2 linked regions of the Alligator mississippiensis genome follow. Each later gene encodes a partner of the first gene's protein in a complex. Links are inferred from orthologs where the notes say so. Each region holds a gene or a part of one and is shown on either strand. Other genes may lie near its edges.

Evidence for each region. Proteins that work in one complex are often made in the same cells at the same time.
Region 2: the proteins of CLOCK (region 1) and BMAL1 are in contact, whole or in part, in a crystal structure (PDB 4F3L), measured with the Mus musculus proteins. The link is inferred for Alligator mississippiensis from reciprocal best matches to the Homo sapiens genes CLOCK and BMAL1. Residues at the interface, in NP_001276755.1 of Mus musculus: Arg46, Gln49, Phe50, Leu53, Ile54, Glu56, Leu57, Met60, Leu61, Pro62, Lys70, Ser71, Leu74, Gln75, Ser77, Ile78, Phe80, Leu81, Arg82, His84, Lys85, Thr88, Glu95, Ile96, Gln98, Asp99, Trp100, Pro102, Phe104, Leu105; in XP_030097882.1 of Mus musculus: Lys70, Met71, Phe74, Ile75, Glu77, Leu78, Ser80, Leu81, Val82, Asp93, Leu95, Leu98, Arg99, Ala101, Val102, His104, Met105, Lys106, Leu108, Arg109, Gly110, Ala118, Tyr120, Lys121, Pro122, Phe124, Leu125, Asp127, Asp128, Glu129.

The regions. Positions count from the first base shown.
Region 1 is NC_081825.1:60,495,558-60,502,696, forward strand, and holds the start of CLOCK (circadian locomoter output cycles protein kaput), read right to left. Parts: upstream 3,021-7,139; 5' UTR 2,874-3,020; intron 1-2,873. UniProt on the Homo sapiens protein: Transcriptional activator which forms a core component of the circadian clock.
Region 2 is NC_081825.1:201,878,058-201,885,321, forward strand, and holds the start of BMAL1 (basic helix-loop-helix ARNT-like protein 1), read left to right. Parts: upstream 1-4,255; 5' UTR 4,256-4,274; exon of another isoform or gene 4,275-4,312; intron 4,313-4,318; exon of another isoform or gene 4,319-4,418; intron 4,419-7,264. UniProt on the Homo sapiens protein: Transcriptional activator which forms a core component of the circadian clock.

The sequences.
Region 1 (7,139 bases):
CAAAGTTAAGAACAAATGAAAACAGAGACTTATAGCAGGAAATGCTGGGCAACTTTAGTAATTTTGTGGTGCTTCCCACCCCACCTACACTATGGCAATTTTTAAAGCCTAAAGTCTTCCAAATATCTGAGGTTTCAGGAAGATACACAGCTCTAATACAAAAAGGGGTTACATTTCCAATAAAGTCTTTTTAATCTCTATTACAGAAAAAATTAAGTTATGAGAAACAGGCAACAGTTATTTAAAAATAAAAGTATATTCCAAATGCCAAGGAAAATAATAACCTGTTTAAGTATTACTCTACAATCACAAGCAAATGTAATCAGATCAAGTTGGTGTTTTTGAATGTTTATTAGAACATACTTGTTGAGTAATTTGTCACAAAGTTACCATATCCTGCCTACTAGCATGTATATTGAAGCTGCTAAATTTAAACAACAGAAAAAAACGAATCAATAATATTTGTATTTCATATCTAAATGAATACAAACAAGCAATGAAACTATAGATATCAAAGTGATCTGAAACCTAAAGCGTGTAACTGCATTTATCACCAAATTACTCTCATTTACTATGGTGATAACATAACAAAAAAACAAATAAACTTTGCCTAGCCAACGGAAATATGAATCATCACTGAACGAGGGAAATATAAAGCCTCACAAGCAAAACTCTTTATCTGACATCACTAAAATCACTTCATACCTTTGTGCTCCAAAATATTTTAAAATTCAAACTAAAACATAAGAACGCTGTATGTCACTGAAATACAGATGCAGTTCTGTATTAGGGAGAATTTGATGATGTAACTATTCACTTTTCCTGAATCTGAGGGTCCCATTTGGGAATTAAATTCAATATGTTAAACTAAGCTGGAGCACTAACCACATATTCTTCTTCACTCCAACTCTTCTAATGTCCAAGCCTAATGTTACTAAAACAATGATCTAATTTTGCTTCTGCCCCTCACTATTGCAGGCATTCTCTTTCAAATGCCATATTAAAGCATTCATTTTCAAGCCAAAGCAGAATACTATCCTGACAGCAACCTATGAAGATTTGCTCTTGATCAGTCAGATACAAGAGCACCTATGACAACTGGCATAACACAATCATGCTTCTCTCAAAGCTATACAGGAAATAGAAGAGCCCCATGGTCAACACTCCAGTGGCAACATATTTGCATATTAAGAATACTTAGATTTCTCAAGGCAGACCTCGCTGAAGTGTATTCATTATTCTAATTGCTTCTTAAAACCCTTTTGAAAAAAAATCTGTGCATTATGAATATACAGATGAAGGATATGGGCTTACACATCACTCGTTACCTAGAGAAAAAGAATTCAAAAGGTAAGGTTATACAATGCAAAGTACCCTACAACTAGAAATTTTCAGAGAAAACATTTCTCATCTGACAATGTCAATTCATCAAGGCCAAAACTGTCCACATGAAGAGATCTGTCTCCACTTACAAAATTCTGACAATTTCAAAGCACTTTTTCTAAAATGTCCCATTTTGACTGAATGTCCCTGAACTGAAGCTGGCCTTTTTTTCCCCTCTCTTTTTGCAAAAAATTGAAGGGGATTTTTTTGTCTTATTTTAGAGCAGGAAGAAAATTCAAATTCTCAAAAATGTTCATAAGATGAGCACTGTTTCCTACACGAAGTGGATCTCTGCACAGAATCCCACAGACCTTAAGGAAGCAGTGCCAGAGGCGGAACATAAGCCTAGAGCAAAGTTTGAAATGATAACCAGCCTCCCATAGTCTTTATTTACATTTTAGAGCTGTAAATCTTCAATCAGCCACCAGAGGGAGATTAAGCAGTCCTAAGAATATAATTTACAACGAGGAAAATATAAACAGACTATGCATAATGGAAGAACTTAACACAGGGACTTATTCTTCTTGGCACACATGGGTAAGGCAGCAGAAAGGAGCAGTGAATGAGGCCGGGCTGCAGGAAGATTCATCCCGGCTATTAGAAGTATGTGCTGTTGTTCATGCCAATCTAGAACAAGGCAAAGCAATTCCCCCTCCCCAGGAAACACTGCATCACCATGCACACAAGCGCATCTCAGTCTCTCTCAGTAAGCGTCTGAAAAGTTAAAAGAACCTAACAAACATGCTCTAGAGTCACCTTTCAACGTCCTGAAGCAGTCTCTCTGCTTGGACGCTATAAAAGGATGAGGCAAAAAATCCTCCAACAAATACAAAAATACAGGAAAAGTGCTTTGAAGTGAAGCGCGGCGCACGCGACGCGTTTTGCCAACTGGCCCGTCCCGTCGCACGCAAAGGGTCCGGGTCCTGCCACCCCACCACAGCCCGTTCCCCAGGGGCCCGTCACACACGAGTCGCACGGAGTCCTCGCCCGGGCGGACCGCCGGCAGGACCCGACCCCCAAGCCCTGTGCCCGGGGCAGCGGGAGCGGGAAGCAGCACAGGTGGCCCCGAGCGGCCCCGCCCCGCAGGACGCAGCTGCGCCCGCCGGCAAGAGAACGCGCTTCACCTCCGCCGCTGCAGCCCCGACCCCGGGCCTCGGTTCGAGCGGCCCCGGCCCAGGATAGCGGCCGCGCTCGGCCACAAACAGCGGGACGACGCGAAGGGCGGCCGGGCAACAGGGACACGAGCCGGGGGGTCGCGGGGCCTAACGGGTCATCCAGGGAAGCACCCCGGCCCCGGGGGCAGGCGCGGTGCTCCCCGCCCGCCGCCGCCGCCCGTGTTCCCGCCGCCGGGCTGTCAAACTTTAATGGCTCCTCAACGCGGGCCGGGACCAGGGGAGCCGCCACGCGGGGCGGCCCCGCCGCGCACCCGCCCCCCGCAGTGCAGCGGCTCCCCGCGCCGCGCCGCGCCGCGCCGCGCCGCGCCGACCCACCGGCAGCCGGAGCCTCCTCTCGCAGCAGCAGCAGCAGCCAGGCCTGCCAGTCCCTCAGCCGCCCGCAGAGCGCATGCGCCACCCGAACTGCCGGCAAACAGCGGCCGCGGCCACAGGAGCCTCACGCCACCGCGCGTGCGCCCGCGCGCACTGCAAGCGACCGCGGCCGGGCCCGCGCGCCCCGACCGCCGCCAGTGCGCAGGCGCAGCCGGCCGCAGCGCACAGCTGCAGCCGGCCCGGTGATTCCCTGTCCCGGGGGGCGCGGCTGCGCAGGCGCAGCCAGGGCTTCTCTCTCGGCGAGCCCCGCGCGCAGGCGCAGTGGAGCGCCGCGCTGCCCTGACCTCAGATTACCCCGGTGGAGGCGCAAGAGGCTTCGAAAGGAGAAAATGGCGTCAGTCGCTCCCCGCCTGGGGCCGGGCGGCTCTGGCGCACTTGGCGGCGGAGCCGCGCTGGGGCTCCGCGTTGCCCCAGGCTGGGCCGGGACGCTGGCGGGGCACTCTCTGGGCGGCTGCGGAGACTCCCGCGCCCCAGCCCGCCCGGGGACTCTCCTGTTCCCGGCAGGCGGGAGGACTCGGCCGCGGCTCCTTCCTCGGGAGCGGCCGGCAGCAGCCCCCGGGCGCCCCCTCGCTCTGCACGGGGCGGCCGCAACCCTCGGTCCCCTCCCCCCCGCGCTGAAGTGGCTCCGGGGCGTCGTGCGGACTTGGTTGGCTCGGGCTACCAGGAGGGAGCCCGGCGGAGCTATGGCAGCCCAGGGAGCACGGGCCGGGAAAGGCAGCAGTCGGCTGCCCCGCTTCACCAGAGTCCGTGGCAGGATTGGAACTTGATTAGGATCTAGATCCATTTTTACCCATGAAAGCATTCACGGCAGGAGGGAATGGTTCCTCAGCCTCCCAACTACCATAGGTTTAAATGTGTCACATTTTAAATGTAAATGGGCTTTGCTGCTGGTATTTAAAAAGAAAAAAAATTGGACAGGTCTGGATATAAGGAAGAACTTCTTCATGGTTTGTGTAACCAGCCTCTGGAACAGACTCCCAGCAGAGGTGGTACAAGCACCTACCCTGGAGAGCTTCAAAAGATGCACACCTTGCTGGGGTTATTTGACCCCAGCAGTCTTTCCTGCCCAGAGCAGGGGGGCTGGACCCGATGATCTCATGCTGTCTGTGAATCTGTGGAAGTCATTGCTTAAACGCCTGGAAATGTGGTCTGTGGAAGCACGAAACTAGTCTTCTGCGGCAGTAGCTGTAGAGAGAACGTTTTTATTCTGCCAATGTTTTGGTGCTTAGCTCATTCAAAGTTGAAAAAATAATGAAGCAAGAGTAGGAAAAAAACCCCAGGAAAACCAATTTCGATCATAGAGCAGCAGGGTTGGAAGGACCCTCCAGAGGTCACCTAGTCCAGCCCTGCCTGAGGCAGGATCATCTCTATCCAAACCATTCTATACAAATCATAATCTAAACTGTTCATAAAACTATCCTGTCAGTCCTGACACAACACAGACTTAACCCCCTAACCTGCCACAGCTAAAGCAGGAAAACCACAGCAGCCAGTGTTCTATGAAATGCTTTTCAGTGCATGTTCAAAAGATTCTGCTTCAAGGGCCAGGCCCCTACTACAGCAAAAAGCAAGCCCCCCCCCAGTTTGCACCAATCTGACCATGGGGAAGCATTCCTTCCTGACCCCATATATGGCCATCGGTCTGACCCTGAGGGGAGGGGCAAGACCCTCTACCCAGGAACCTCTGGCTTGGCTCCCAGCAGGAGCATTGGCACACCTGAGTCAAGGTCCCCAGCCTTGGCTGTAGCCAGCACCTGGTACATCTGGGAAGGCTTAAAAATGCCCTGACACATGTAGCAAAAAGTGGGGGGGCAGGGAGGGAGGCAAGGCAAGGGCAACCAGCAAAGCCCAGAAGCATAAGAAATATCCCTAAAATTATGTTTTTGTGTATTTTATGTTGACTTCCAGGCTGCATCTGGATACAGCTTGATGACAAGTGGTTGTGGGGCTGGGGGGAATTCAGTCATCACTAGTAAATAGAAACGCATCAATCACTATTTTTGAGCATTAAAAATGTAAAAAGTAAGACTGACTAAAAGGATGTTGAGCTAATATTAATAGACACAGTGTCTCTTCCTAATTAGACAAAGGAAGAATGAAGTTTTACCAGTGAGAATCAAATCTAGAAAACTACTAAAGCACAAACCAAAATAGAAAATGATTTTAATCAAGATTTCTTGCTTGCTGATTTAAAACTGATATTTTAAATCAAATCTACCCTTTTTTCTTTATCAGCCAGGCCTTAGAGCTTTTTGTGCTGTAATTACAAATATAAGAAAAATACAAAAAAAACTTTGTCAGTTTAATAAACCAGTATGAGTTTGAAGAACTTGTTTGATGGTTTGGGGTTTTTGTGATGGAAAACAGATCCATTGCAAAAAATATACTGTTCTAGTACAAAAAGGATATCACTATGACTGGTAGATAGATATAGGTAGGGGATTTTCTATGCTCAGATTGAGAGATTGTACCTTTTACTTTGCTGAGTATTAGGACAATTCTGAAACTTTTAGAGGTCGGTCTCTTACTCAAATCTATCTTTGAAATTGCTCAGCGATTTTGTGCTATATTTATCATCTGGTTAATTTTTCTTTGCAAGAATGATTTATCAGAATAAATACATTGAAATATTGAATAAATCTGATGAATAACATGTCCAGCAGCTCTAACATTTCAGTAACTACTTAATGCACTGCTGAAAGCTGCACAAATTCTAGTGATGAGCACAATGAAAACCTATATAGAACAGAATGTAGTAGAGAACCAATTTTCATTAGAGAGCAATGTTTTGTTTTGAGTATGTTGATGAATCCAAATATTTTTTTTATAAGGATATTTCTTTCATTTGGTGCTTTTAGCTGAACCTAAAGCTTGCTACTCAGGATAGGTGGTATATAAGCAGCCTACTTGATGTTACTGAAGTATGTACAATACTTTGCACCACGGCTTTCATCTGAAGAGAGTATTTTATAAAAATTACTTAAATACCTTCCTAATGCAAAGTAGGTAGGGGATAACACAAGATAGGTAAACTTCTGTGGTAGAGGATATGCTACACAACAGGAAATAGAAAATCTAGGAGATGCTGCAAGAATTTAAGACATAAATATGTAATTAATCTGAACTGAACTTTGTCCAAGAAACCAAGGTTAAAACCAACCCATACACGTATTTCCTTTAAGATCTAATAACCAAGAGTAATCAGTATTACAAATGACATCTTTAGTAGTAGTAGCATACTGTGCACATGTATCATTGAGGTATGACCTAAAGAGAAGAGCTACGCTTAATGAATCACAATGAAATTTCTTTCAGTGCCCAAGCATTCCTTGAACACCTTTCACCTTTTTTTTTGAGATCTGACAAGATCAAAACAGAAGACAGTACAGTTGCACAATAATATGTTTTTGTATTTTCACCAATAGCTATTGCCCAACCAAAAGAATATTTTTTTTAGTTCTTTAAAAATGTAAAGCATTAAGGGCCTAATCTCTAAAAGGAGGCAGGGGCAAACTACTTAATTCCATAACTAAGATTTTACTAGTAAATATTCCTATATGCTATGTCAGAACTGCTTCGCACATCAGGGTTGAGCAACTCGGCACATACCCGAGACCAACTGGGATTCTTAATAAGGTATTTTCCCCTATCTAGTTCACCTGGTGAGCCCAGTGTGCTATAAGTGCTCAGACAATGCTTAATGCATGTCTGCAGGCTTGGTCTCCGTATAAAATAAAGAAGAACTGGGAGTAGACTTTCATAAGACCCTTTAGAAATCTAGCCACTGTTGGATAAGAAAATACAGAATGTTTGTTGACTGGGGGACAGAATTTGCTGATATAACTACTAGATGAACCCTCTCTGAGTTCACTGATAACCCTGAGTTAATTTAGAGGATGATTTTGAACATCTGGAAACTGAATTGTGGAAGGTAACAATTGGTACTCATGTGCCTATCCTATTAATCTTTCCATTGGTCTGAATAGATGTACCTGGAAGTCTTTTCTACTATGAATGAGGATGAATGCTTTGGACTTTCTATTAACATGCTTCCTTATGTCAGCCAGGTATCCATACCATGACATGGAGAGTGCATGAACTGAGTTTTAAAAACTGGCTGCAATTCCACAATATATCCAAATGTTACATGATACATTGAATGGTTTATTGATAGTTGCACTTGAAAGGCAAAGCTTGGTAGAATCCTGC
Region 2 (7,264 bases), about 140 Mb from region 1:
CAGGTCCCCTCTCAGTCTTCTTTTCCTCAGGCTGAAGAGTCCCAGATCCCTCAGCCTTTCCTCTTATGGCTTGCCTTTTAAGACTCTGACTATACGGGTGGCTCTTCTTTGGACTCTCTCAAGCTTGTCCATGCCCTTGTTAAAGTGTGGTGCCCAGAACTGGATGCAATACTCCAGCTACGGTGTCACCAGTGGTGAGCAGAACAGAAGAGTCACTCCCATGGCTTAGCAGGAGATGAATCGATTGATGCATGCCAGAGTATTATTTGCCCTACTGGCTACAGCATCGCACTGCCAACTCATATTCATACTGTGGTCTATTATTACCCCTAGGTCCCTTTCATTTTTGGTGCTAGACAGTTTGGTGCTGCCAAGCCTGTAGGTGTGTTGGGGTTGCTCGTCCCAAGGTGGAGCACTTTGCATTTCTCAATGCTGAACTTCATTGGGTTCCAATCCGCTCAACTTGCTAGCCTGTCTAGGTCCACCTGTAACTGAAGCCTATCTTCAAGTGTGACCATGCTTCCCCATAACTTGGTGTCGTCCATGAACTTGGCCAGTGAGCTCTTCACCCCCACATCCAACTCATTAATAAAGATGTTGAAAAGTACTGGACCGAGCACTAACTCCTGTGGGACACCGTTGCCCTCTTCTCACCAGGATGACACAGATCCATTCACTACGACTCTCTGGGTCCTATCCTGGCAGTTTCTCACTCACCTGACTGTCTTGGAGTTAATCCCACAATCCTCTGATTTTCTCATGAGGACATCATGGGATACTAGATCAAGTGCATTTTGGAAGTCTAGGTAATGAATGTCAACCTGTTCTCTCCTGTCCAGGTGATGATTTACCTGGTCATAGAAGGAGATGAAGTTGGTAAGGCAAGACCTGCCTGTGATGAAGTCATGCTGGCTGTCTTTTAGAATCTTACCTTCTGCAAGCTTATCACAGATAGACTCCTGATGAACTTTTCTAGGACTTTCCCTAGGATGGAAGTTAGGCTGATTGGCCTACAGTTACGTGGGTCCTTCCTCCTGCCCTTCTTGTTAATGGGCACAACTTTGGCCCTCTTCCAGTCCTCAGGGACTTCTCCAGAGTGCCACAATTTGTGGAAGTGTTTTGCCAGGGTTTCCACAATGACTTCAGCCAGCTCCTTCAGCACTCTCAGATAAAGATGACCTGGTCCTGCTGACTTGAATACATCTAATGTTATTAATTGGTCATACACCAATTCTACGGCAATAGTAGGAAGGTGATTATTCATATCTTGCTCATCCTCTACTCTACCTGGTGTGGTTTTCCTCTTGGTCTGATGAAAGACCAAGGCAAAGTAGTCATTCAGGAGTTCAGCTTTCTCCTGGGTGCTGGTACCCAGCTCTCCTGAGTTGTTGAGCAACGGCCCCACACTCCCATTCGTTTTCCTCCTGTTCCCTATGTATCTAAAGAAGGACTTCTTGTTATCCTTGGTTCCTGTTGCTGATCTAAGTTCGCTCGCCGCTTTAGCCCGTCTTATCTGTTTCCTGTAAATGCGGGCTGTCATGGAATAGTCCTCCTTGGGGCCTGCCCTGAGCTTCCATTGTTTATAAGCCTCTTTCTTCTTTCTTAAGACGACTGTGATTTCCCTGTTTAGCCAAGACAGCTTCCCAGCCCTTCTGTTTCCTGTTCTCCGCATGGGAATGGACTTCCTTTGGGTTTCAAGGATCGTGTCCTTAAGGAACAACCACTCTCCATGCACACCGTTTGTCTTCAGTCCCTGATCCCGCAGCACTTGCCCTACTAGTGACCTATGCTTGTTGAAATTTGCATTTTTGAAGTCCAAGACTTCAATCCTGCTGTCCGATTTGTCTGCCTTACGTCGGACAGTGAACATGATGGTTTCATGATCGCTATCGCCCAGACTTCCCACTACATTTAAGTCGGTCACCAGGTCGTCTCCTCTGGCCAGGACCAAGTCTAGAAGAGCATCACCTCTGGTTGGCCCATGCACCTCCTGAGTAAGGATGAGCTCCTGAACACAGGTCAGGAAGGAACGCGACCAATCCAACTTGGCTGAGTGTTCCTCCCAGGAGATGTCTGGATAATTAAAATCGTCCATGATGACCATGTCACGTGCATGTGCAGCCTCAGTCAATTCTCAGATGAACTCCAGATAGAGTTCCTCCCCCCAGTTTGGTGGTCTGTAGTAAAGACCTACAGATAGGCTTCTCTTGCCACGCCATGCTACGACCTCCCCCCCGCAACTTGACCCAGAGGGTTTCAAGCTGTCCATTTTTAGAGCCGATGTCGGCATTCAAGGAGGTGTATTGCTCTTTCACGCAGAGAGCAACAACTCCACCTTTCTTCCCTGCCCGGTCCCTTCTACGCAGGGTGTAATCCTCTATCTATAGCTACACTCCAGTCGTGAGGAGTCCCACCAGGTCTCCGTAATCCCTACTAGATCATAATGCACTCTGGAGAGTAGGAGGGCTAGCTCCTCCTGCTTGTTCCCCATGCTTCTGGCATTAGTATATAGGCACCTGCATCCTCCTACTGAGGCCCTTGTCTTCCTGTCCCGCTGATGGAGAACTATTCCCTCAGCTCCCACAACAGTGGCTCTCCCCATGTCCCTATCTACAGGGCTTACTTGTATGTTGGTATATCTTTTTTTACTACTTATCCTGTTGCAGGGTTACCACTTGTATAAGATCATCCTGATTTTAACCAGGGGAATTCTGAATCCTCTTATAAGCCACTTGTAGGCAAGGTTGCAAACTCTTCAAACCAAAATCATAGAAAGCAGGCGTTGATGTTGCCATGAAAAATATGTTCTTTGTCAAGTGGAAATAACAATAATGACGCTGAGGTAATGTTGCAATTCAAATTTAGTGATGTGATGTGATGTGATGCAAATTAATGTCAGACAAACTTTTGATATAGTGATAGGATGTGGTGTGACAGGATATGCACGATAAGGTGTTGAAATGATGTACCGTTGATTATTTGGTATAACGGCACTACAGTGCAAACTGGATGTGACACAGCATGGAAATGCAACACTATTGCAACTGTCTGCCTTGCAGTGGGTCCCCTTAATGAGCCACAGTTGTGGCGATGATGCTATTGTTTTAAATGACTTGGAGCATGTTTAAATTCAGACTATGAACTGGAGCAGCGAGTGGCTTTGCGCTTTAGATGCTGTATAAATGACAACACTGCATCAGGATTAGGGTTGCCAACCCTCCTGGATTGCCCTGGAGTCTCCAAGAATTAAATATAAATCTCCAGAAGACTGCTGAGAGCCACCCGGAGATAAATAATAGGGCATTTGTTAAAATACATATTAAATGTTGAATCAGATTTATACAGCAGTCCAGTAGGTTTTTAAAATGTAATAGTAATGTGAATTTGCCCCCTGATATAAAGTCTCCACACTGTAATCTGTAATTGATATATGCAAGCAGACAGGCACATTTGCGTTGTGTGTCGCAGGCACGTTGGCATTCTGGAAAACTGCTGGGATGGATTCAAACAGAGCTGGCGACCCCAATCAGGATGCAACAACTTTTCATGACTATATGGTGGAACGATGGAGCTTCCCAGTGGCAACCAGGTGTGACACCAGGAGGCAGTGATGCTGCTCTGTCACAAGGCATCAGCCTGCCACGACCACACTGCACTGGTCTGCGGGTACGAGCTCCCCCATCACAGTGCAAGGCCATGATGGACCATTAGTGACTCCACGGTGCAGAACAGGGAGAGGTCACGGAGCTGTTATGACGTGAAAGGATGATGTAACACCCCCGGGCAAGATTATGACGTCCTGTGGCACTGCCTCGCAAGAGCAGGGAGTGGCAGCGTGACGTATTCGAACTACCCCGCGGCACGCGACGGTGACGTAGCAGGGAGGATGACATTACATCGCGCAGGGAGGCAATGACGGAGTTACCAGTGGTCATGGCAACAGTGCGTTGGACTTAAGACGCGCGGAAGGGGGGCTCCCACCATGGCGCCCCCAGGCGGGGCGGAGGGATCCATCCGGGTCCCCTCGCTCCTCAGCGTCGCGTGCGTAAACCCAGACAGCTGCTCCGCCCTCCCGGCTCCGCGAGGCGGGAGTTCAACCCCAAGAACCGTTTATGATTGGCTGTCGTTCCGCAAAGGGGGGTCCGGATTGGCCGGCGGGGGAGCGCCGAGGCCCGGCCGCGATTGGGCGCGGAGCTGGGGCAAGCGGCTTGCGCATTGGCCGAGAGGCGCGTTCGGGCTCGGGCGGGGGGGAGCAGCCATTGGCTGGAAAGTAGGTTAGTGGTGCGACGTTCGGTGGCAAGCCAGGCGGAAAGTAGGTCAGGGACGGGGGGCTGCGCTGGGTGTTGCTCACTGCATTCGGCGGGTAGCGGAGGAGGCGGGGGCCACGCGGGGCGACCACCCCCGCCCGCTCGGCCACGGTGAGGCGGGGGCTCGGAAGGGGGTCGCGCGCGGAGCGGGAGGCGGAGGGAGCAGGGGTTCCTCGAGGGCGCCTGCGGCCGTTGACCGGCCCCACGGCTGGCCGCGCTCCAGGCGCGCTAGTGTCTACGCGGGGGGAGGGGCGGACCCCGTGCGCGCAGGTGCAGCGTTCCCCCCCTTCGCCCCCTCCCCCCGTCCGAGCCCCGGGCCCGCGGATGGGCGCGGGCATAGTCCCCCTCCCTCTGGGCTGCCCCCCCCCCCACCCCGGTTCGACGGGGGGCGCTGCGGCTCTCCAAGCAAGTCGGCGATGGGCTCTGCATCCGCGCCTCGCTCGTTTGGCAGGGCCTGCTCAGCCCACCCCTCTGCTCGCCTCCTCTTGCTTGATTTATTTTATATTCTTTTAGTTTACTTTATTTGATCATTTTACTTTATTATTCTTCAGCAATTGGTCTGTGACCTGTAATGCTTTTTGGGTGTTGTGTGAACAGGTTTGAGATGGGACAGTGCTTGGGCCCCAGGCAGGACTGACACACAACCTGCCGCCCCCCCCCCCCCCTCCGTGAGAGGAGCTGTGTGGCCTGCCCAGCTTTGCTGGCGTTGGTTTTCTTGTTGTGTTTCTTTTTTTCTCTCTCTTTTTAAGAAGTGTAGCGGTGGTTAAGTACAGGCTGGATGTTGGCTGGTCAGGATCTGCCTCTCTGGCCCCTGGAGATTGCGTCTTGTCCGTTCGAACTCGTGCTGCAAACTGCGCTGTCAATTTTCTTTTCAAAGCTCTGTTCCCCTCTAGACATTATAGACTGGGTCATGGTGGGATGCTTTCAGCTCAGAACTGCATGTCCTTTGGTGGATTGGAAAGTACTTTTCCTGCCCAGGAGTCAAATTGCAAGTGTTTTGGGGTTTTTTTGTTTTTGTTTTTTGTCTCTTTGAAATCTGGCTTCCTCTTTATGCCTGGCATGTGCAAACTGGTGGTACTGGCAGCTCACAAAAGGCATTGAAAACCCAACCTTTTTTTCTGTAATGTTAAGCATTAACACCGCTTGTTTGTGTGTTTTTTAAATTGGTGTCTTTAAATGAAGTGATCCACCTCTGGAGTAAGTTTTTTAAATTAGGTTGTGTGGGAATGCAGTTGTATGAATTGAGGCAAATCAAAATAACCCTTATAAGCATCCAAAGCTGCATTTGTCAGTGAATGTCCAGAATCTCCCTACTTGTTTAAAATAGGTCTGTGCTCTTTCTTGTTCCTAAACAATTAATTGAGTATTTCTCATAACCACTAATGATTTTATGTCTGTCTGTAATGCAGTCTCCAAGTGTTGCTGCTCTAGGTTGTTATGGTGTGCTTCTACACCACTAGTACATGCTTCAGACCCTGCTGGGAATGCTCAGTATGTTCAGGGTCTGGAAAGGAGCTGCATACAGAGACTGGATAAACAAAAAGGGAGTGGAGAGGCTGGAATGACGTACGTTGCCCCCTGGAAAACCTGTGGACTGTGTCTTTTGCCTTGGGGTCTTGTGCAGCTGCAGATCCTAGGGTCAGCATTACTGTGGAAGTGCAGTACCTGCTTGCAAGTGGTATTAACTTCTCATTGACATTTGGGAATCTGCCAAGTTTGGAAGAAGCCCCATGACTCCTTAAAGGCTGAATCAAGAAGCTATCCACAGATGTACTTTAACAGAGATTTTTGCCTCATGCATCTGCCCCTGGATGTTCTTCTGTTAAGGGTTACCTGGTCAAAAGCAGTCGGGGTCCCAGACTGAAGGAAAAGCTGATGTTCCTTGGGGTAGGAGACAGGAATGCTGGACATCATGGGTTCAGTTTGACTAGGATTAAAAGTATGTTAACCACCACACCTTAATTCTAATAAGAGACGAGCTCTGTGATGATAGTACAACTTGTACTTCTTAAGTGAGTTTTGAAACATGAGGTTTTTAAATAGGCTTATGCTTTTTTTTGTTTGCAAAACCTTGCTGCATGTGTTATGACCACTAATGAGATACATTCAATAACCTGAAATATTGTCTACATGCAGAGTTTTTGCAAATTAATTAATTTTAATTAGTTAATTTAAAATGATTAGCATAACATTGAAGCTGGAAAGTAAGCACGAGTGAAGTAAAGACCTTGATTGCAGGGTTGACACTCCGTTGCTATTTCCCATATGTCATACTTTTAAATGTTACTGCATAAAGTCATGTCTTTGTCAGGAGAACTGGAGCACTGCACATGTGGCATGTTAAGCTTATGTTAGGTTTAACTTTTTGTTGTCTCTGGTTTACCTGCTTACTTGTCAGTCTTGAACATTTATTTATTTGGGTGCATTTGTATTTCCTTACAGTAAGGAGAGTAGGCAAAAGCAGGCAGCCATATTTACATGTACTTAAAAGTTTTAAAGTCACTAAGGAAGTGTCCCTAGATTGCATTCAACCCAGCCTTCTCTAGGAATCTGAGTGAATATACTGACTTAAGCCATAACTTCTTACTAATATTCAATTCTTTCTCCTCCAGTTTGGGTAGCTGCTTCTTTCTTTAAGGCCTAAATAGCTATGGACATTTTACAAGTCAATTTAAAATGTCTTTCACTTTGAGCTTGCATAATAATTATTTTTGTTAAAATTATTAACACATGAAAGGATATAGACTGAAATGCAACAGCTCAGACTGAATTCATAATTATTTAATAGTGTAGGTCATGTTCTGAGCTACTGTGGCAGGGTTACCCCTTTTAACTTAGGCCAGATTTTCTGAGCATAGTTAAGTGCTTTAGAAAAATGCCTCTGTATCTAAACCCCTCTTAAAAATCTGTCCTTGGGTCTGCTCCACTCTCGGAAGCATATACTGTCACTTTTAGAC